Arabidopsis thaliana: one gene and its partners. The protein of the gene in region 2 interacts with the protein of the main gene of each other region in a pairwise test. Each region holds a gene or a part of one and is shown on either strand. Other genes may lie near its edges. The genes, in order: TCP4, ATMAK3, AGL21 and ATO.

The links.
Region 1: the proteins of ATMAK3 (region 2) and TCP4 interact in binary tests that used the Arabidopsis thaliana proteins (3 or more experiments, as listed by UniProt).
Region 3: the proteins of ATMAK3 (region 2) and AGL21 interact in binary tests that used the Arabidopsis thaliana proteins (3 or more experiments, as listed by UniProt).
Region 4: the proteins of ATMAK3 (region 2) and ATO interact in binary tests that used the Arabidopsis thaliana proteins (3 or more experiments, as listed by UniProt).

What each region holds. Positions count from the first base shown.
Region 1 is NC_003074.8:5,059,785-5,064,690, forward strand, and holds TCP4 (TCP family transcription factor 4), read left to right. Parts: upstream 1-1,896; 5' UTR 1,897-2,523; coding exon 2,524-3,786; 3' UTR 3,787-3,814; intron 3,815-3,896; 3' UTR 3,897-4,368; downstream 4,369-4,906. UniProt on the Arabidopsis thaliana protein: Transcription factor playing a pivotal role in the control of morphogenesis of shoot organs by negatively regulating the expression of boundary-specific genes such as CUC genes, probably through the induction of miRNA (e.g. miR164).
Region 2 is NC_003071.7:15,977,831-15,982,621, forward strand, and holds ATMAK3 (Acyl-CoA N-acyltransferases (NAT) superfamily protein), read right to left. Parts: upstream 2,934-4,791; 5' UTR 2,808-2,933; intron 2,674-2,807; 5' UTR 2,640-2,673; intron 2,405-2,639; exon of another isoform or gene 2,348-2,404; 5' UTR 2,316-2,347; coding exon 2,136-2,315; intron 2,037-2,135; coding exon 1,916-2,036; intron 1,777-1,915; coding exon 1,721-1,776; intron 1,025-1,720; coding exon 809-1,024; 3' UTR 547-808; downstream 1-546. Other genes in the region: PSRP4 (plastid-specific ribosomal protein 4), read left to right, coding at 3,118-3,274, 3,342-3,406, 3,495-3,629; AT2G38150 (alpha 1,4-glycosyltransferase family protein), read right to left, coding at 3,870-4,791. UniProt on the Arabidopsis thaliana protein: Probably required for N-acetylation of some chloroplast precursor proteins and efficient accumulation of thylakoid multiprotein complexes.
Region 3 is NC_003075.7:17,834,698-17,840,870, forward strand, and holds AGL21 (AGAMOUS-like 21), read right to left. Parts: upstream 4,273-6,173; 5' UTR 3,925-4,272; coding exon 3,743-3,924; intron 2,888-3,742; exon of another isoform or gene 2,065-2,887; coding exon 1,986-2,064; intron 1,841-1,985; coding exon 1,779-1,840; intron 1,655-1,778; coding exon 1,555-1,654; intron 1,465-1,554; coding exon of another isoform or gene 1,440-1,464; coding exon 1,398-1,439; intron 1,296-1,397; coding exon 1,212-1,295; intron 1,136-1,211; coding exon 998-1,135; 3' UTR 991-997; intron 896-990; 3' UTR 520-895; downstream 1-519. Other genes in the region: SHM1 (serine transhydroxymethyltransferase 1), read right to left, coding at 1-45. UniProt on the Arabidopsis thaliana protein: Probable transcription factor.
Region 4 is NC_003076.8:1,861,825-1,868,330, reverse strand, and holds ATO (splicing factor-like protein), read left to right. Parts: upstream 1-1,897; 5' UTR 1,898-2,032; coding exon 2,033-2,206; intron 2,207-2,635; coding exon 2,636-2,749; intron 2,750-3,218; coding exon 3,219-3,323; intron 3,324-3,432; coding exon 3,433-3,575; intron 3,576-3,678; coding exon 3,679-3,775; intron 3,776-4,201; coding exon 4,202-4,351; intron 4,352-4,430; coding exon 4,431-4,502; intron 4,503-4,785; coding exon 4,786-4,944; intron 4,945-5,041; coding exon 5,042-5,248; intron 5,249-5,324; coding exon 5,325-5,471; intron 5,472-5,561; coding exon 5,562-5,708; 3' UTR 5,709-6,006; downstream 6,007-6,506. UniProt on the Arabidopsis thaliana protein: Splicing factor homolog to SF3a60 that may be involved in pre-spliceosome formation. Is necessary for gametic cell fate determination.

The DNA of each region.
Region 1 (4,906 bases), on a different chromosome or scaffold from region 2:
AACTACTTTGATGATCACAATATCATTTTGATGAGGCGTATATATATACATTTAATTAATATTGATGTCAAAAACTAAAACTGACGTTAATAATCAATGACATTATTGTGCTTAATTATTGCATTTCATACAAATTTCCCCATAATTAAGAATTTAAATCTCTCGTAATCATTCTATTTTGTTGTGTTGCAAATCGTGACCGTAATTCCAAGTGGAAGCTACTTTTGATTTACATTTAATTAATATGCAACCGTGGGATGACATATATTCTCCTTTTCTCTACTAAACAACCTATTTCATGTTTAAATATTATATTTTGTTTTGTTTGATTAATTATTTTATTGTGTTCGTATTAGGTTTGTTAATTGACCCTTTTCTATCATGCTAATATGTCACTTTCTGATTTATTATTACATTAAAGTAGGTGGTCTAATAGTAATTATTTATATGAATAGTTTTAAACTATCAAATAATGCTGTATACTATATATATTTTTCCAACTAAAAAATTATATAGTTATGATCCTTTGCGTCAAGTTTTTATTATTGCTTTGAAGAAAAAACATATTCAACTACTTGAAAATTACGTTAGCTTACCGTACGTGTGTTCAAATTTAATATGCTACAAAATTGTGTGAACAATATAATAGGTTTGTTGTATTTATTCGTTTTTCACCAATCTGGAGATATTTTGTGGTACAAGTATTATAACCACAATATATTCCATACATGAATTAGTTGTGAGAGTTATAGTCAAATTGGTTGGGATTCAAGAAGCATTATACTATTATTATAGAGTCCCACCAATTATTTTTGAACTCGTAAAATTCTCAAGATCTTAGAAATGTCTCCGTTGAAGCTTAGATTGTCTTTTACTCACCTTTATTAGTTTATTTATACGTCGTATTCTTCAATTTCAAAATACCTTTCATATATGAATTTGGGTGATATGCACACGAACACGATACGGTGAAATCAATTAGTTCCACAAGTCAAAATAGCTAGAAAAGAAGTATTGGATTTTAGAACAAAGAATAACGAGAGTCTTATTGTGTTTGTTACTAGTTTATAGAATCTAAAACAGGATTGCAAAAAACAAAAACATCAAAAACGAAGATGAGAGATGAAAAAAGAAAATCTTAGATTATAAAGAGCCCTAATTGTATTGCTAACTAATATTATATTCTTCTTTTAACGAGTTCGATTTTTCGAATAAAATCTACTTTAGTTAACTATTGAGATTCTTACAACAAAAAGGTAAAAAGAAGTGGAGCATCAACAAGCTTTATGTATTTGCATTGAACTAGCATGGGTCAACCCTTAAAAGAAACCGAGAAGCACAAAAGGTTGAATTGAACCTTGACCCATCTAACACCATAGGTTTTTAGGGTATTTATTCATTTATTGAATTCGGAAACTCGAAAAATAAAGTAGCTAGTTCATTCCAGTGATTTCAACTTTTTAAGTATATAATCCCCATGATTATGTATGTATGTGGACATGTCCACGAAAAGAGTGCCCATTTTCATATCAAGGAAGTTAGTAACTCTGACCAAAAGTAGATGTTTTAACACATCTTAGTATTTTTATATCACACTAAATTAAAGTAGTCTGTTTAATGTATTCTCTTAGAAAATAACATAATGATTTGCATGCACATAACAAATCCTATACTATTATTTTGGTAAACAAATTTGGTTTTGGAAACATCTAACTCTAAAAACCATCATTATTATTATTATTATTTTTTTTCTAATATTTTGGCATCCTACAATTTAGTTTATGATTGTGTTGATTATTATTTGGTTGTATTTGCATCTACACATTAAGTTAAACATTGATTTTAAAAATTAACATGAACAAAATGAATACTTACTGTTAAAACCTTATAACAATCAGATTTTTTTTTTAAACAAAGAATGGAAAAAAATGAATAAATTTGGGAAACGAGGAAGCTTTGGTTACCCAAAAAAGAAAGAAAGAAAAAATAAAAGTATTGAATGTGGAGATGAGAGGAAAAAAACACTTACTGTCATCTTACCCAGTTGCGTCATCATCAAACCCACAACACTCTCTTCCTCTTCCCTCTTCCTTCTGCTTATTTTACTTTTTCTCTTTAACCATTTTCCCGAGAGAGAAAAATAAAAAGAAAAGCTTTCTCTGGGTTTTTCTTGATTGGTCAATTACACATCTCCCTTTCTCTCTTCTCTCTCTCACCTTCGCTTGCTTTGCTTGCTTCATCTCTTTGGTCTCCTTCTTGCGTTTTCTATTTACTACACAGACCAAACAATAGAGAGAGACTTTAAGCTATAGAAAAAAAGAGAGAGATTCTCTCAAATATGGGTTAGTCCACAATTTTCACTAAACCTCTTCTTCTTAGGATTGTTTTTAGGGTTAGGGTTTTGAGGTGAGGAGAGCAAGTATGCGGGAGTTTCATCCTTTTTGAGTTACTCTGGATTCCTCACCCTCTAACGACGACCACCGTCGCCGCCGCCGCCGCCGTCTCGACGAATATGCTCTACCAATGTCTGACGACCAATTCCATCACCCGCCGCCTCCTTCTTCAATGAGGCACCGTTCTACGTCGGATGCGGCGGACGGCGGCTGCGGCGAGATTGTTGAGGTGCAAGGTGGTCACATTGTTCGGTCTACCGGAAGAAAAGACCGCCACAGCAAAGTCTGCACGGCTAAAGGGCCACGTGACCGGCGCGTGAGACTCTCTGCTCACACGGCGATTCAGTTTTACGATGTTCAAGACAGGCTTGGTTTCGACCGACCTAGCAAAGCCGTTGATTGGCTTATCAAAAAGGCTAAGACTTCCATTGACGAGCTCGCTGAGCTTCCTCCCTGGAATCCCGCCGATGCAATTCGCCTAGCCGCTGCTAACGCTAAACCCAGAAGAACCACCGCCAAAACCCAAATCTCTCCGTCTCCGCCACCGCCGCAACAGCAACAACAACAACAACAGCTTCAGTTCGGTGTTGGCTTCAACGGAGGAGGAGCAGAGCATCCGAGTAACAACGAGTCGAGTTTTCTCCCGCCGTCAATGGATTCAGATTCGATAGCTGACACTATAAAGTCGTTTTTTCCGGTGATTGGCTCTTCAACGGAGGCTCCTTCGAATCATAACCTTATGCACAACTATCATCATCAGCATCCGCCGGATTTGCTTTCTCGAACTAATAGCCAAAACCAAGATCTCCGTCTCTCGCTGCAATCGTTCCCGGATGGTCCACCGTCGCTTCTGCACCACCAACATCACCACCACACCTCTGCTTCCGCCTCCGAGCCTACTCTGTTCTACGGACAGAGCAATCCGTTAGGGTTTGACACATCGAGTTGGGAGCAGCAGTCGTCGGAATTCGGAAGGATTCAGAGACTAGTGGCTTGGAACAGCGGCGGTGGCGGCGGAGCAACCGATACAGGAAACGGAGGAGGGTTTCTGTTCGCTCCTCCTACTCCTTCAACGACGTCGTTTCAGCCAGTTCTTGGCCAAAGCCAACAGCTTTATTCTCAGAGGGGTCCCCTTCAGTCCAGTTACAGTCCCATGATCCGTGCTTGGTTTGATCCTCACCATCATCACCAATCCATCTCCACCGACGATCTCAACCACCACCATCACCTTCCTCCACCGGTTCACCAATCAGCAATCCCCGGAATCGGATTCGCCTCAGGTGAATTCTCTTCGGGTTTTCGCATACCAGCACGGTTTCAGGGCCAAGAAGAGGAGCAGCACGACGGTCTCACTCACAAGCCGTCCTCTGCTTCCTCTATTTCTCGCCATTGACAATCGAAACTAATCCTCTAAGTTTCAGGTTTATCTCAAGTTCTGTCCTTTTACATCAAATTCACTACTTTTGTACTTCTTTGGTCATTGAACTTTAAACCATTTTGCAGGGCTTGTCTAGCTTCCATGCACATTGAAGCTTGACTTAGATTGTCCGGAACAGGGAAGGTGTTCTCGGTTTGTGTAGTCAATGGCCTGAATCTAGAAAACGCAAGGAAATGAAGAAAGAACAACAGTTTCAGGTTCTTCTTCTTCTTCTTCCAATATCTTAACCTTGCCGATTGTAATTTTTCATATTTTCACCAGTTAGACCAACGTTCTTCTGTAGCTCAATTATGGTTAGATTCCAAGGTTTCGTCTTGTTGTGTTATGTTTGTAACTTTGTATCATCATCATCCTATTGTTACTGCTCCCTGTTCTTATTGTGTAACTCCGTGGATGTTCTAATAAAGTCTGAAACTTTCTCTTTGGGTTTTACTTTTACTGCTCTGTTCAGGCTAGATCCTTGTTATTTAAACAACATGAGATTCCTATTTCTCACGTAATCTTTTGGTCCCAAGAGATATAAGTTGGTCATTTTCCATGAACAGTAAGTTTTGAATTGTTTCTTCTTCTGGAACATCAGGGGGATTTAGCCAGTTCCCTTAAATTACAAGTGAAACTTAGCTCACTAAGAGTAAAAATATGATTATTGTTTTCTATGTCTGATGTCAATAATTGTTCTCTCTCACCTACTTTAGTGGTAGGAGGAGATCCACCAAACTTGAATGTGATGTTGTCTTTGATGAGTAAAAGAATGGGGACATGAGATAGGTAAAGAGAGCCACCCATGTTGGTCTAAATGAAGGAAGTTGATCAAAACTAGTCTATCTTCTCTATCATCATCATCTTTTGATAATAATATTGGATTTTTGCAAAGTTTAGTCAAAAACACTTGGGGTCTAAATGCATGTGTATTATAAGAATATTTAACTTTACCTTTTAATAGAAAAGCAGCAACACCTTTTCATGTGATGTAATCAAAACACACCAGATGGATGAGTTGAGATATCATAAAGTACGTTTACATCAAAAGATAGAAAAGAAGAATCTTCAATTTAAAGGTCTAATGAGTCATGAC
Region 2 (4,791 bases):
GTTTGGTTAGTGACCCTTGGTAACGAGTGGGTTCAAATTGTCAATAAACTATTATGTGGCGAGTGGTGAATCGTCTTTAATTTGTTCTGATTTAGGCCATGTGAGTTTTGCAACTACATTTGAGGCTTTTCTTCTTCTTTATATTAGACTTTTTTTTTTTTGTAAAGTGGACTATCTGGATACAAAAAAAATCTCGGCTAACATGGATAAATCTAAGATGGTTGTGTTTGTGAAAAGAAAATTGTTTTATAGTAAAATACGGTATGCAATAAAAGTATTTCATAAAATATCTCATACCAATTATTCAAGCATGTCTTTTCATAACATTTGACTGGCATCTTTCTCTCCTTTGGCCTTAAATCAATTTTTTGTCATCTTGGATTTCTTTTGAGGTATATAGAGCTGTTTGAAAATTTTGATGGCTGAAAATCACTTCACATCTCGATTTCTATATCATCCACTTAACTCGAAGTCAGGAGTAGCCTGAGACGATTAGGTTAAGTTAAGTGGTTATATGAATTTGTAACAACATTTAGATCTTTGTTTCCAATCATCAACCAAGTTTGAGAGACCTTAAAAACGTATATACGCACACCACAAAGTGATATGAATATGCTAAATTGTTTCTGTAGACACACAAGACCGTTGAAACGTCCAGATTAATCGCTTACTCCAGTCGAGAATACTTCATAAACATGGGACTAGAATTGTACCAACACATAATATTTCTTCATACGAAAGAGAACATAGTCTTAGCATGTTCAGGATTTAGAATACATTGAAGAAACACACATCTTCGTTCATGGCCTTAAGGTACACGAGGCCTAGGAAAGGTCTCATACTCTTGTTGGGTTTGAACTTGAGAAGGTATTTGAGGTACACGAGGCTTAGGGAACAAGAGCTTCAGGCGAAAAGCATCCATCCCATTCAAGTAATAGTGGTATAGCCGTTTGGCTCTTATAAACCCGAGTCGCCCATATAGTGCTAATGCTCCTTTGTTACTCACTTCTGCCTCCAGAGTTACCTTCAGCCATACATCTTTACATTAATTAGATTGCATAACCAGACAACCATACTCTCATGTTGTAATCAGGCTTGATTATGAGGAACTTGAAGAGCAAATGCCAATCACGAGGTTCTTTTTCCAATCTATTTACTACTGAGATTACAGTTAAGAGATCACACATACAACAGAAAATGATTCGTCGAATACGCAATTAGTAAGTGGGAGACAGGGATTTCTTATTTTATATTACTATCAGTTACATTCCAATGCGTGTGACTATAAAGAGTCATGGACTACATACAAGACTTATACAACATATGTATACTAAGTGAGAGACTGGGATTTTGATTTCCACTACAAAATTAGTAACTAAACGAATATCGAAAAGTTCCAACTCTTAGGAGTATGATTAACTACTTTTATACGTGGAACTAAACTTACACACACAGTTAGCTAAACAATCAAAAGCAATAGGTATACTTGCAATGATTAAAGGCAGCTACATCACCTCAGCTATGAAATTCTATTCTAGTAGATAAAAAGGAGGCACTATTTCAGGACATGTAATGGACTTATAACCTTCCGGAAAAGGTGGTTCATAAGGTCTTATCTACATTTATACTACCAGGAAAGGATATCACTCTAGTGCTACCAAATATCTAAGTTCTCCAAAGTGGGAATAAAGAGAGAAGTGAGAATGCAAGAACAGCATACCTCTTCACAGCCTGATTCCATCATCGCTTTTATCGCTCTTGTGACAAGCTCTGAGGCTGTAAAAAAACAATGACAAGTCAGCACACAAAATTATCGAACCTTAAGAGAGGCATGTATTTGCAGTAGATCAAACACTACTCCCACAGTCAAAATCTGATTCTGTAAGAAGTTAGGAAGCACTAGCTCAAGTATTACCTATGCCTCGGCCACGATATGGTTTAATCACAACCAACATAGCGATGTACCCTCTGAAAGTCTGTCGATGATCCCCCATCTTACAGACTATGGTTCCTACGCATTTACCTTTGTGAAAGGCCTATTAAAAGAAACAAAACAAATGCTACTCATAAATCCATCAAAACATAAGTATCATGAGGGTAAAGCAACGATAATCGAAAGCTGAGTGTCAAAATACCAGGAAGCATAGCTGCGGCCAGAGGTAGACGAAGTACCGGTAAGTAAAGATGGAGTAAGGTTCACTAAGTTCTTGGTCAACAAGAGACATAATCAATGGCAGATGATGCTCACCAGCATAACTCGTGTACTCAATCTCACCCTCATCGAATTCTTCTTTATCTTCCATCTCTTTCTCCATTGCAAGAAGTGATCAAGATCCCGAATTGTATACTTACAAAGAGAAATATGAACTTCTGATCAGTTGTTTATACATTGATGATCTTGTTCCTATAGGAAGTGATGAAACACATAATGCAAAGTTAGAGAATATAAATCATTTTCTGTGAATCGAAGTTGAGTGATTGTTTCAGAATTGAAAGTTCAATGTTTTCATAACAAACTCAGATTGCTCAAAGCCTCAAATAAACAGCTGAAGCAGAATCTATAACACTCTACTAAAGCAAACGACTTTGGCTAAAGCGAGCTATAGAAGATTTGAGAGTTCAGAAAAAAGAGAGCTTACCGATGTTATGTGACAATAGGATTAGTAAAGAATCCTGTGAAGCATAAGAATGAAAAAAACACACACAGATTTTAAATACCAAGTAATGAGAGATTTAGAAAGAGATGTGATTATAAAAATTGAAACTTTTTAGAAACCCAAGATCAATGAGATGATAAGAATACTTACCAAAAGTTTGAGCTTTGTGAAATTCGAAGATCAAAAGTTACGATCTGGGTGATATCTGAAGAAAAAAGCTCCGAAGAGAAGACGAAGAAGAACAAGAACAAGAACAAGAACAAGAACAAGGTCGATTACACACGTGACAAGCATGTGTAGGGTTTAGATATATTTGGGCTTTAAAATAAGCCCAATTGAAATTAAAGCCCAAATATGAAAAGATAATTAAAAGCCTATCCTAAAATCGTTTTTCTACTCTCACTGCCTTATCTTCTTCTGGATCTTCTTCTTCGAACAAATTCGAAAACAGCACACGGCGATGGCGTCGCTTATACTCGGAGCTCCTCCGCGAGTCACCGTCGCATTACCTTCCTCACGGTTATCATCTTCTCACTCTGAAACTGCCGGTGTCTCTCTCTCTTGCTTCACTCATCAATTCTCTCTCTCCACTTCCTCATCCAGCTCAATTCCACTCGGTAATCTCCCTCTCTTATCTAACTCTCTCTTAATTCGTCAATGGCGTAACTTTTCCGGTGTTCGCAGTGTACTGTGGCAGAGGTGACCGGAAAACAGCTAAAGGAAAGCGTTTCAATCACTCTTTTGGGAATGTAAGTAATCAAATTTCTCTTTCCGATTTCGTAATTTTACTTTGCAAATTCGCAATTTTGGTTTTGAATTTGGGGTTTATGTAAGCAGGCGAGGCCAAGAAACAAGAGCAAAGGAAGAGGACCGGAGAGAGTACCGGTTCCTCCAGCACCACCGAGGAAAGATAAGTTTGAGAACGACGAGAAGATCAAAATCGATATCGACGAGTCTCTCTTCTCTAATTAGAAATATGAGATTCTTCACTTGTTGTCTCTCACTGTAATTTTAATTTGTTTTTTGAAAAGCTTTGATGCTACGACTCTTTTGTTGTTAAAAACATCTCCAAAGTTCTCATCTTTTTATGAAAAGTTTGCTTCTTTATGAATCATTGAGTCTTTTACATTGAAAAAGTAAAGCAAACTAAGAACGAGAATCTATATACTTAGATAGATCAGATGGATGAATCATCTGTCTCTGTTTGGATCTTTAAATGTGAGAGTTTGTGATGTTTCCGCAGACTGTGCAGTGAGTGGAGACGAGAGTGTGCATTACACTTCCTTCTTCAATCTTAATCTTCCTTGTGACTTTGTTCCACAGATGTATCATGTAACTCCCTTTGTTCATGTCCTGTACTGTCTTCTCTACCCATTTTGCTTCTCTTGTGGTTGCAGGTTTCTTGAAAAGCTTTTGGATTTTGATCCAGTTTACTGGATAGAAAGCATCGGGAGAAAAGATTGTGAGATTGTTGTATCCAGGTTTGTTTCCTAATCTCTTGATAACTCTAGAGACTAGGTAAGGGCTGTTGTATCCCCATTTGTTTCCGTCGAAAGTTGTGGCATACTCTTGCAAGAATTCTCGCATTAGCGGATGGTAGATGTCAAAGACCATCACTGCGTTGTTTAGTCTCGTCCATCTCTTGGTTGCTGGATCACTACTCTGTGCTCCAATAGCGTTTCTTAGTCCTGTCATGTCGTTGAGGAAGATGATGTCTGTGTCTAGATAGACTCCTCCGTATTTGTAGAGTACTGCGAGTCTTGTTAGATCAGAGAGATTCATGAACAAGGGGATAGAACCGGGATCCATGTTGCCACTCTTTAGCCTTTTCAGCCAAGCTTCAGCAGGAGTGTTCTTGACGAGAAACGGGATATCTATAGTTACAGCAATGAGGTTGAAACCTTGATCAAACAATGGTTTAAGGATAGTGTATCCGTTTGGGGAGTCTAAGGAGTTGGACAAAATCGCCAAGCAAGCACCAGGATTGGTGGTGAAGAGAGTATCAATAGCTAACATCTCTCTTGGTCCAAAAGAATTTGCAGGAGAAAGCCAAATCATAAAGAACTGAGCAGAGCAATTCTTGTTGTACAAGTCCAAAACTCTTGTATGGAAACTCTTGCTCTTGGTAGTCGAT
Region 3 (6,173 bases), on a different chromosome or scaffold from region 2:
GTCAATTGAAGAAGAAAGCCTTCGAAGAGCCATGGCCATCGCCATTTTTCGCTAAACCTCTCTCTATCTCTGGTTTGTGAAACCCTAGAAACAGATTTGAAACATGAACGAGAGAGAAGAGAGAACAAAAATAACAAAATTGGGTTTATCTTGTTTGAGAGAATTGTGGCCTCTGCTTTTGGCTGAGCTTTTGGTGGTTGCAGCAAATTTTCGAATTTTTTCCCTCTTTTTTTATTTATATTTTCTTCTGATTTTTATTTTATATTTGTTGTTTCTTTGTCGTTATCTCTCAGGTCCCTGTCTACACCAACCTTTGTGAATTGTGATGATTTGGTGACGACGATGATTTGTTTCCCTTTAAGACAGAACCTTTATTGGTTTCTGGTCAGTGCAGTCAACGATAACCGATTCAGTTATCACACATCAATTTAATTTATATAGTTTCCAAACCGGTTAGTTTGGGGGAATAAGATTAACAGAATTATGGTGAATTTACAAAATAAAACCAACAAAACAAAAAACTTAACAGAAAATGTTTATTTAACATTTTAGAATTACCAAGTGCATGGTTATATATATTAAACAAATTATTGATCTAAGAATATTGATATTTGAGAGAGTTTTGAGGATAATAATTCATATGATTTTTCTCTATTAATTGACGAATCTATGGTTATAAACAAGTACAATATTAATACTCAAGATGAGTATAACAACACCGGATTTTAATTATATATGCTTTAATTATATTTAGGATTGAAAATATGACTATGTTAGAAGAACCATGCTGCTTATCGTACGTGGCTTGGTGTATAGAGGTTTCCAGTTCAAGAACCTTATTCAAACCAAGGCCTTTGGAGTGTTCTTCAACATCATGGTATCTTCCAACTTCAATCTGTGAAAGTTTTTAACGAGTTACATAAAATATATAAAATGCCTAAATGGTGCATGCATGTTTGTGAAACATCAAGATCAATTAAAAAAGTTTACCTCTCTGTTATTCGTTTGCTCTTGGTGGAGTGTCATAATCGGAATGTTCAGGCTGGCTTAGTTGCAGCCGAATCTGAGTGTGTGATTCATCATCCGCAACAGCTACTTCACGGTGTGTAAACCCGTTTGTGTTTGCCATATAAGCCTGAAAGTCGAAGCCATATCACTTCGAAGCTCTTACTCCAAAGAAAATGGAGTTTTTGTAAAACATGATTTGTTACCTTCTTGTAGAGCTCCACATTTTCTTGATGAATCCGTTGTACTTTCCTAGATAAATCGAGGTTTTCCTGATGAATAAGATTCCTCTGCACCACGATCAACAAAAATCCCAAAATTAGAATTGTAACTTTTGGTAGGGGATATTTGTGTGTGTCAGTGTGTGTATATATATATCTCATCATAGTGACCTTTTGGCTTAGTTCTTGGATTTCTTGAGTCAACAGTTGTTCCTGTGAATCCGGAAAAGCAATCGTTCTATTGATTTCCGTTGTGTTCTATAGTCAATCTTTTGAGTAATACACTCCAAAGCATATAATAGAAGGTAGAGTATATGTATTTATGTACCTTTCTCATACGAATTCCACGCAAACTTATCTCAATTTGATTCTCAAGACTGTTTAGCTCGTTAACACTTAAACCATTTAGCTGTTCTCCCATCATTTGCCTGCTTCATAGCAAACATACCGCAATCCATAACTACAAGTTTCTTCATTTCCTTTACATGCCTTCTATATTTTGATCAAAGACTAATTCTTAATACAAAATGTTATAAAAGTTCAAGGCGATACCGATGATTTTCTTGCAAAGCATGCAGTTCTTGTCTTAGAACAGCAGCTTCTCTCTGCCAAAACTGTAACACACAACACAAATAACTCATCAAACTTTGAACAGCTCAGTAAACCAAAATCTCATTTCAAAAATCAAACATCATGCTAAAGCATCAATCAATATATAATCACATATCTTTAGAGTTGTCGCTATATCTATATGTATACCTTGACTTCTGATGCGGGGTTCAATAGTTGTTGTTGCTCGATCTTGCTCTTGTTGTATCTATCAATAACCGACTTCATGCTATTCAAAATATTTAATATTAGTATACCTTGTTCATGGTATATAATTCACTCATATCATATCATCTCTTAGAGTAAATTACGTAAAAGATATTAATTTTCGATCGTGAAGTTTTTCCAAGTACTCCATTAAAAAGCTTTCATACGTAAAGAAAAAACTCATAGCCTAGAAATTTGTGCAATATAGACTTTCCTGCATTGGCAACATTATTTACACACGCTTATATATGTACACATACATACATTTCACATAATGTATATAATCTTGAACTCAGCAGTAATACGAATTTGTTACACAAACTAGATAAACTATATATAAAGTAAGTAGATGTTAGTTTCTTTTTTCAATAAGTAACAAAAACAAATGCTTAAATGTTATTTCTAGGGTGTAGATAAGCAAGAACTTTAAAGGAATCCAGTTCTAAGCTATAAACAAAATGACATAAATGTAATGCATTAGCATGGCACACTTTATTTTAAATCCAAGCAAACAATAACATGGTGTTAGTTAGTTTTAAGAATGGTATATAAACTTGACTAAATATGCTAAGTAATTTCATTTACCAAGAGGTTCGTAAACCCTATGATACATGAGAAATGTTATCAAAAGACAAACGTGAAGAATTAATAATGCTTAAGGTTGATGCTAATATAAAATTCCTCAAGGAAAATAGGGAAAAACAAAAATTCGCATTACCATACTCTTTTATTTGGTTGTTTTAATTGATAAATATGAAATTATATAAATTTTCAAAATATATAATCAAAATATTATATGATTTAGAATTACATGTTTATATATGTTTTCTAATAATTAGTTTTTTATCTCTATATTTTTTTTATATTAATCAAACTTTTAACAAAGAATAACTTACTCAGAAAATAGACAATTATAACGATTTTGCAGATATAAAGTTAAATATACAGAGTAATCTGATCGTTTAGTAATAATATATATGATTATATATAAATATCAAAAACATGTTTATGTTTACGAGTATAAATAGATCATTTTGTTAGTGGGTTAAACTAAATCAGCTTCCAGTTTATTGGATTTGAGAAATTAAGTCCTCTACATACCAATCTTCTAACTCGTGGTCTCCAATTATAATTCTTTTTTAGCTTTCCAATAGTGATGTTTGGGCATTCACACTTGTTTTCTCATCTATTTCTGAAACATATCTAAATTTGGAAAATGCAAACAATGAGCCTTAGTTAGTTATAAGTCAATGTCCATACACATAAACATATGTTAGGAAAGTACTTCAAAACATACTGATGATGGGTACATATAATCACCCAAATATGAAGCAAAGAAACTACTTCAAATTATTTTTTCAGCTTCAAAAATATTACTCTTCTTTAAAACTTCTACCTCATTTTTAATCTTTCTTTGTTGTAAGAAAACTGTTTGTCGGCTATACAAGACACATCTTATTGTACATACGGGAAAATTAATGTAACATGTTCTACGGACCGCCAGATGCGAAAAAATTCCACTATATTTGAATAGATCCCACAGCTACATATATCTCAGTGAATATCACCAAGCCTTCTAATAAACAAAACCGTAGCATAAAATTATATGCATACAGTGGTACACAACATCTCCGTAGATGTACATCCACAAAATCAAGAAGATATAAAGATTTCAGAATGAATAATTTTAAAAGAAGAACCTGGAGCTTGCAAAGTCATAGAGCTTTCCGGTGCTAGAGAAGATGATGAGACCGACCTCGGCATCACAGAGAATAGCTAGCTCTTTGGCTTTCTTGATAAGGCCCTTTCTTCGTTTGGAGAAAGTGACTTGTCTACTCGTTGAATCATCGATCCTTTGGATCACAATCTTCCCTCTTCCCATCAATTTTATCCTCTAATTGAATCTCCTCTGGTTCTTCTCTTTTTTAGGGTTTTTTTTTTTGTAGATCTTACCAAGCCCAAAAGGGAAGGGAATATGAAGATGAACGAATAAGGAGAAAGAGAAAGGTAGAAATAGAGAGAGAGGAAGGTTGAGCCAAGAGTCAACAATCTATTCGAGGAATAAACTAAGTATATATATGCATATGCACACACACACATACACACTCACCTCTCAGTTTGAGACATTTTTGGGTAGATTTAATACATAGAAAAGTACTAAATTTCTAGTCCAAAATTAGTATTTGTGTGTATGATTTTATCAAACCAATGAAATAGAGAGAAGTTCTTATAAAGTTCCTAGGTTAAGAGAATATATAGATATAGCTTAAATGTGTGTCATATATACAACTTTAATCACTGATTCTTTTTTATAGTTTGTTTATTACGGGAGATAGTGGAAACTTAATGGAATTGTTTAGATAAAAAGGAGTGAAATAATATTAAACTTAGTGTGAGTTAGGTAAATTTCCATTATCAATAATATTTCCTTTTTAACATGTCCGTACATTATTTATAATTTATTCTTAAGTCTTATTTCAAATGTCATGTGAAAATAGTGAATGGGCGCATCACAGGACTGTGTTTCTCTGACAAAACCCTCTTGCTTTATATGCTGCTTTACTTAATTTAATTAGTATCTTTTAGAGGTGATTAAAAGAAAATTAAAAATATTCTGGCCCTTTATTATGGTCATAGGAAAACTTATACTATATTAATTAGATCTGTCCAAAAGATATTTACCCAAAAAAGTAAGAGAATGGATTGAACAAAAACATACAGTATTAATCTAGTACAACATATATTAGTCCATATGGCTTTCGGTAGAAATACAAATGAATAAATTATTTTTGTGTCAATTAATAAATGATTTTAAACGATATCAAGTACACGTGTCAGACAGGGACTTGGAGTTGCGGAGATTCATCATATTAATTGTTTTGTCGTAAGTTTCCAAATATGGCAAGAAATTTAATATCAAATAACTATATAACGTCTGTTACTTTCGATGGCTTAATGCTTGATTTCTACTCAAAGCAACTCGCGTTCAATATCATAATGAAATGAGCTATACAAAATTTTCACTTATATATAGAATATTTTCACTCAGAAGGCCATATATATATAAACCGTAACTTATATTTCAAGCTTATGCATATTGCAAATATACAATCTAAAATGTAATATGCATTTGTGACAGGCACACGTGGGAGAAGCAGGAACAGCTCCTGAGAACACCAATTGATGGAAGTCTTCGCACGCTCCACCGCAGAATCCGTACACCTGATCCTTCATTACTAACTATTTTTGTGTGTTTATTTTAGTTTCTTTGAATGTCTAAACTTTAACTTTGACCAACCCTCAAACTTGCCATAAATCACCACCCCTAGCGCGAATGTATCCATCAATTGAATTTGATTTAAAAGTAGCAAATGTCCTTTAAACCGAACTAAACCAAGCTCAAACCCTAATAACCAAGTTCGATTTTATACCGTTGATGTATAAGATTTAGGTGGGCCCCAGATAGATAACATGATAATTAAAGATCTATTAAGACCACGTGGGCTGGACTGCTTCGAACCAATCACATCTCGAATCTCAAACTCAAATTCAGATTTGGCTCTTTTTCTATTAACAAAGAATCTTAAAGTTGCTTCCAACTTCCAAGTGACCAAATCCCCAATTATCGTCCTCTTAAGATAAAAGATTCAGTCTCATTCACGCCAGGTGTCAATCATCAGCGAATCATTTCGATTTTACCAATTATAATCATTATTATCTTTAGTTCGACGGGTTTATACCACTCTTTCTTTTACGTTTCAAGCCTATTGTCTACGTTTTCCATATTTTTCAAGTCTAAAACATAAACAATCTAGAATTATCACAATCTTTGTTTATTTTGGTTCTTAAAACCCCTTTAACAATATTTGTTTTGTGTAATTGTGTGTGTTTATCTTTGCTGTGTATATATATAAGACCTATTTCTTAAGAAATGTTTTGTAATGACTAAACCAAATATCTAACACATGTATAGAATCTGTAATCCATAAGAGCTAGTTACCAAAGAGTAATAGGTTTCACAGATGACCTATTTCTTTACCAAATTAAATTGCTTACTATAGAGTTTAAATAATACACCCATACTACTGACTATCTGTTGTTCAAGTAGCAGATTTATATTACAGACACCTA
Region 4 (6,506 bases), on a different chromosome or scaffold from region 2:
ATAGTCAATAAACGAGGATAAGCTTCTTCGACTAGGGTAAAACAAGTCTTCACTATATATACAATGCATCTTCGATTATAACCCCCAATTCTTAGATATTAGGGCTTATGTTCTAAATCGTGTTATTCGTATTTATCGTTTTTTTTTTAAATCGTTGCGCAGCCCTTAAGATCGCCTTCCACAAATGCTTAATGGAAGCGTGTCGAGTCATTGCTGCGCTAAATCGAAATTTATTAAGGGTTTTTGATTAGGGTTCTCCTAAGAACTAACCCAGTTTTTACCTTCCTGATTTATTATAGGTCGAGTTTTTTTATATCGGCATTAGATCTGGAATTAAGGTCCTCTCTCGCTGACTCTTCAGATATAAGTGTTTATCTCTTTTATCTGCTAGAGATCTTTGCGTTTGAGGATTTTCAGATTTTAATTTCGTTCATTTAGTATCTCGTTCTATATAATCGGGTAGGATACATTGTTTTTATTGGTTTTGCAATGAAACGGCGAGAATGATGAACCAATTAGATGTGCGAATGAGGGGTAATTTCCTCATTATGAGCTTAAAACTGTTTGAGGCATATTTAACATCTCTGACTTCGCCGCTTTTCAAAAGTTTTGTTTGAGTTTTTATTGTTTGTTTTGGTTTGATGGAATAGTGGAAAATGAGGAACATATAACTCAAACGTGAATCAAACCATGTACCAGTTTTTGCTTATTGATATTCTGATTCCACCATTTGAAATGAATAACCATATTTGCTTTGTTTTCTTGATTTGGTTTGCTGTGTTTACGATGAACTCTCATTTGCTTCTCTGTATTTATTATCTTTTTATTAAGAAGATCAACTCATACGAAATGGTGATGTTTCAAAGTGAATTACTTCCAACCTTGATATCCTTAAGTTACAATTAGCGACTCATGAACTAATCGAAATATGGTTTGCCTTAGTTTGCCGTAAAGTAAGTGATATACTGATATGTAAACGATGTTGGCATGGACTATCTTTCAAAGACAACACCTGAAACAGAATTCTTGAGCTTGGACATGGAAGTGACTAATAATGGAAAATTGTTTATAGATAAAAAAAATAATACCAAATATGAATTGTTAACGACATTTCAATTTTGTATGTCCACTCGGAGATCTTCCTTTGGTTTTACAAACATAAATCAATATCAGAAGTCATAAGATTAGTCTATGGGATTGGCTATTATTTTGTTGTCAGGTGGCAATACTTACCCCAAAATGCCCATCGTTGGTTCAATATGAATATATGATCATCCTATATAGCTCTTTCCTGAGGAAAACAACCAAATATAGCTCTTTCCATTGATCTATTAAAGATGTCATCTCAACAAACCTCAATACTATTAGGAGATAGCTTGCAAATCTTATATCATGTGAGATATCATGAATTCAATTTGAAAAGAGTGAATAAATGGCTTGTTAACTCTTTAACTTTGACAATGATGACTTGATTTTGTGTTAGTTTGCTACCAATATCAAAGCCATTCATAGTGGATGGTTGTAAACTGCCCATTTTTTTTCTGTACAACCTTCTCTCCGTTAACATCTTTGCAAATGAACCCATTGAAGTATAGTACAATATCAAACAAACACATAATGTTTGAGTATTCCCATTAAAAGAGGATTGCAATCAGATAAAAAATATATAAATTACCAAATGGAATAGATCTTAAAAGAAAATAATTACCAAATGGTATTTTACCATATTATAGATTTTTTTATAATAAGTAAAATAATAATAAAATATAAAAGAAAAAAAAGAGTCTAAAAAGGCCCAAAACACTAACAGTCAAAAAAAGGCCTAAAACACAAACCGTCTAAAAAGGCCCAAAACATAGTTCGGCTTAAACGACCCAAACCACAACAAAAACCACCCGATTATCTTTTTCTCTCGGATTGGCGTTAAAAATTTTACTGGCGAGATTTCGGATTGAGGAAAAGAAAAGTGACTGGAATTTAGGGTTTAGACTCCGGCGAAGAAGGAGATTTCAAAGCTTCGAAGACAGAGAAAATGTCGTCGACTCTCCTCGAGCAAACTCGCTCCAATCACGAAGAGGTTGAAAGGTTGGAGCGATTGGTTGTGGAAGATCTACAGAAGGAGCCACCGTCCAGCAAGGACAGATTGGTCCAGGGACATCGTGTTCGTCACATGATTGAGTCTATTATGCTCACCACTGAGAAACTTGTACGCTTTCTCTCTTCTTCTCGTCAATTTTTAATCTTCTTTTCTATTTCCCGCATATGTTTTTATGTCTCTTCTCTTTTGAATACGTTAGATCAGAGCAGAGAAACTTGGGTTGCTGATTTTTTTTTAAATAACAGGTTCGTGTTGAGTGTTGCCTCTTTTTCTGTTAATTGCTTTAGCTTTTTAGGTTATCATTGTGGGGTTTAAGTTAGCTTTGAATCACTCTGGCTTGGGTGTTAAATTGAGAAGAAACTTCAGAGATTGGTGTTGAATATAGGTTATAGTTGGGGTCTTAAGTGTGTATGTAGGGATTCTAAGTTTTGAGCTAAGCATGCTTCAGTGTTATTTCACAAATTTGAGTTAATTTTTGTTGTTGATAATTAACTCAAACTTGGATTAATGCTAACCTTGATTCTTGTTTGTTGTAAGGTTGAAACCTATGAAGATAAGGATGGGGCGTGGGATGATGAGATTGCAGCGCTTGGTGGCCAGACTGCGACAGGGACAAATGTGTTTAGTGAATTTTACGATCGTTTGAAAGAGGTTTGTTCTTTATCCTTTGCACCTTCCTTGGTCTTTTTTCCCTAAAACTTGCCTATGGTTCTCTATACCAAGACTTGGCTTTACTTTAGTTTCTGTGGGTTGTATATTAGAGATTGAGCAGCTAACTTTACCGGACTATTAGTTAATCTAGACATTGTTATTTAGCTGTTGATCTTTTAAAAAAAAATAGTTTTATTGATTGCCTTGAACCACTGTGATGGAGAATCAAGAATTATGTACAAAATCTCAGTGAAAGTGTATTAGTTCTGTTCCATCAACAATTTGGTTAGCTGTATAAGGCTTGCTTTGCATAAGAGTATTAAGGCGGTGAAATTTTCATGAGGACACCCTGAATAAGATTCAAATTGCTAATTCGTTTTTTTTTTATTGTCTGAATTATTTGATTTTCTTGTACCACTGATGAAAGCATCAGAGCTGCAACTATTTAACTTCTTTTATAAACTTACAGATACGTGAATATCATAAAAGGCATCCTTCTGGACGTCTTGTTGATGCTAATGAAGACTACGAAGCACGCCTGAAGGAGGAACCAATTATTGCGTTCAGTGGAGAGGTAGGTTTCTGCTTGACTTTTTATTGTTGCTATTTGTTGACGCATTTTTTAACAGTTTGTAAGCCCCTTTTTTATTGTCAATACTTAAATCTTCTTGTCTGTTACGCAGGAAGGCAATGGTCGGTACTTGGACTTGCATGATATGTATAACCAGTACATCAACTCTAAATTTGGGGAAAGGGTTGAATATTCTGCTTACCTTGATGTTTTTTCTCAACCAGAGAAAATACCGCGTAAACTGAAGTTATCGAGGTAAACACTTCATTGGAATTTTCTTTTACTTAGAAAGCCTCCAATTATTTTTCTAGCTGCAGCTGAATGGCTTTCCTTTTTGTATTGCTATTTTTCATTTTAGGCAATACATGAAGTATATGGAAGCTCTACTTGAGTACCTGGTCTACTTCTTCCAGCGAACCGAGCCGTTGCAAGATCTTGACCGGATACTTTCTAAGGTTTAAGCTCCTCCCTTTCTTTATCATTTTATTGCGTTTACCTTGTTGCCTTATGAAATTTTATGGGCGTTTCGAACTATGCATTAGTACATAACTGGTATATTTATTCGTGCTTAAGAAGTTTCTACTAGTTTCCCAAGTATTAAGTGTAGAACTTTGGATTTGATTTCCTTAGTTCTAACAACTGGTTGCTTTGTGAGTCTTTCATCCCCCTGGAGATAATACATAATTTTGGAAAATAAATGGCCATAACTAGATGGTTGTATTCAATATTCATTGGTGCATAGTTTGCTCTAAGTGCAGAGATTGTATATCCTCGGAAGGTTTTGAACCATGTTATAGTTTGACATTCTGGTAGTTCTAGTTTGGCCAATGCTGTGCCTATTGTTTGATCTGTTGCGATTAATATGTTTGGTTCTTTTACAGGTTTGTTCTGATTTTGAAGAGCAATATGCAGATGGAATAGTAGAAGGCCTGGATAATGAACTTATTCCATCTCAGCATACTGTCATAGATCTTGATTACTACAGTACAGTCGAGGAACTGGTAGATGTAGGACCTGAAAAGCTAAAAGAGGTAATGACCATACTACTTCATGTTAATATCCTTTTTGAAGCATATTCCCCTAATCATATGTTCTTTGTATGCCATTCAGGCATTGGGGGCATTAGGACTGAAGGTTGGTGGTACTCCGCAGCAGCGTGCCGAGAGACTTTTCCTGACAAAGGTTTTTACACTTGCTATATAATCTCCTATTTCTTTAAGTTTCGTCTTATGAGAGGGTACTTTTATCAATTAGTAGCCGCGTTCTTGTTGTTCTTACTGGGTTTGGAAGGAACATTTAGCTGTTATGAAACCTAGTTTGGTAGTTCAGCTCAGCTCTTCTTCTAATATGAAACTAAGGCTTTTGTTGTCATAGTTCATGTTTTGTAGGGATTGAATTCTATTTGAAGCTTTTCTTATTACCTTGAGGTTATCTAATTCCCTTAATTAATTCAATTTTTGTACAGCATACGCCTTTGGAAAAGCTGGATAAGAAACATTTTGCCAGACCTCCACACAACGGAAAACAAAACGGAGATGCCAAATCAACACATGAGTCTGAAAATGCTAAAGAGATTGCACTAACAGAGGCCAAAGTGAAGAAACTCTGCAATTTACTTGATGAGGTTAGTTGATTGAAAGCTCATAGTGACATTTTTTTCCCCCTCCCAGATATCTAGTTGTACTTTTTCTGTTAACTTTTCTTGTTGTCACCTTTTATAGACCATCGAAAGGACAAAACAAAACATTGTAAAGAAACAGTCGTTGACATATGAAGAAATGGAGGGAGAACGTGAAGGGGAGGAAGCTAATACCGAATTAGAAAGTGATGACGAGGACGGTTTGATTTACAATCCGCTGAAGCTACCAATAGGTTGGGATGGGAAGCCTATACCATACTGGCTCTACAAACTTCATGGCCTTGGCCAGGTATGTAGTTTATTTATGAGACCATTGTTGTATCAAAGGAACATAGATTCACATTAAATTTCTTGTTATTACGCAGGAGTTTAAATGCGAGATATGTGGGAACTATAGCTATTGGGGAAGAAGGGCTTTTGAGAGACATTTTAAAGAATGGCGACACCAACACGGAATGCGTTGCCTAGGAATCCCAAACACAAAGAACTTCAACGAAATCACTTCGATTGAGGTAATAATATAATATGATCAAAGACTTTGTACAGCTTAAAGTAGTAAATAGTTTGGTAATTTGATCTTGTTGTTGTTTGGTTTGTTTCAGGAAGCCAAAGAATTGTGGAAGAGGATACAGGAGAGGCAAGGAGTGAACAAATGGAGGCCAGAACTTGAAGAAGAATATGAAGATCGTGAAGGTAACATTTACAACAAGAAGACTTACTCTGATCTTCAACGCCAAGGTCTCATCTGATTGATCACATCCTCTTGATGAAATCTTCTCTCCTTACTATATCCCTTTAAACCATATTCTACCTTTCGCCTTTGTAAAATCAAACCATTCGTCATCTTTTTGTGAGGTTTCGTCTCATTAAAACAGTATTTAGTTTATGTTTTTGAATTGACTATCACAATCGAGGATATAAAATTTGTTTTTGTATGGACAATGCTAGTAAGGAATAGTTGAGGACTTTACTTCAATAACAAGAAACAGATATGAGTTAATATAGGATACTACATGTAAGAATCAATCACTAAAGTTTTCAGATGATAGTGTACTCACAAATTTTGAACTAATTTTTTGATCTTTGATATTCTTACAAAATTGGAATGTTTTAATTTCCTTAATTATCCAATTCCTAACAAATCATTGGTTCCTTTTTTGATAAAACTTAAAATTTGAGTCAAACTTTATAAAAATTATCAAAATAAACAGATACAACCTCAATACCTCATACGACTGTCAAATTTTTTAAAGTAAGCTATCACATAGTTTACCTTTATTTTTTTTTATTATATTTATTTACGATATTTTTTTTTTTTGAAAAATACACAGATATTTGATTTTGGTCAGATATATGTCCATATACGAAGACTTTCAAATTTTATTTGTTTTCAAAAAACCTAAACATACAATCTCATTTTGCTATTTTGGAAAGAATAATGAAATATTCCTTTCTTAATCATATTCCAAAATTTTAATTAAGAAATAAAAGTTGGGATGGGCTTTACCTTTTTTATTTACAGTCCAACGGCCTCATTCGATGACTAG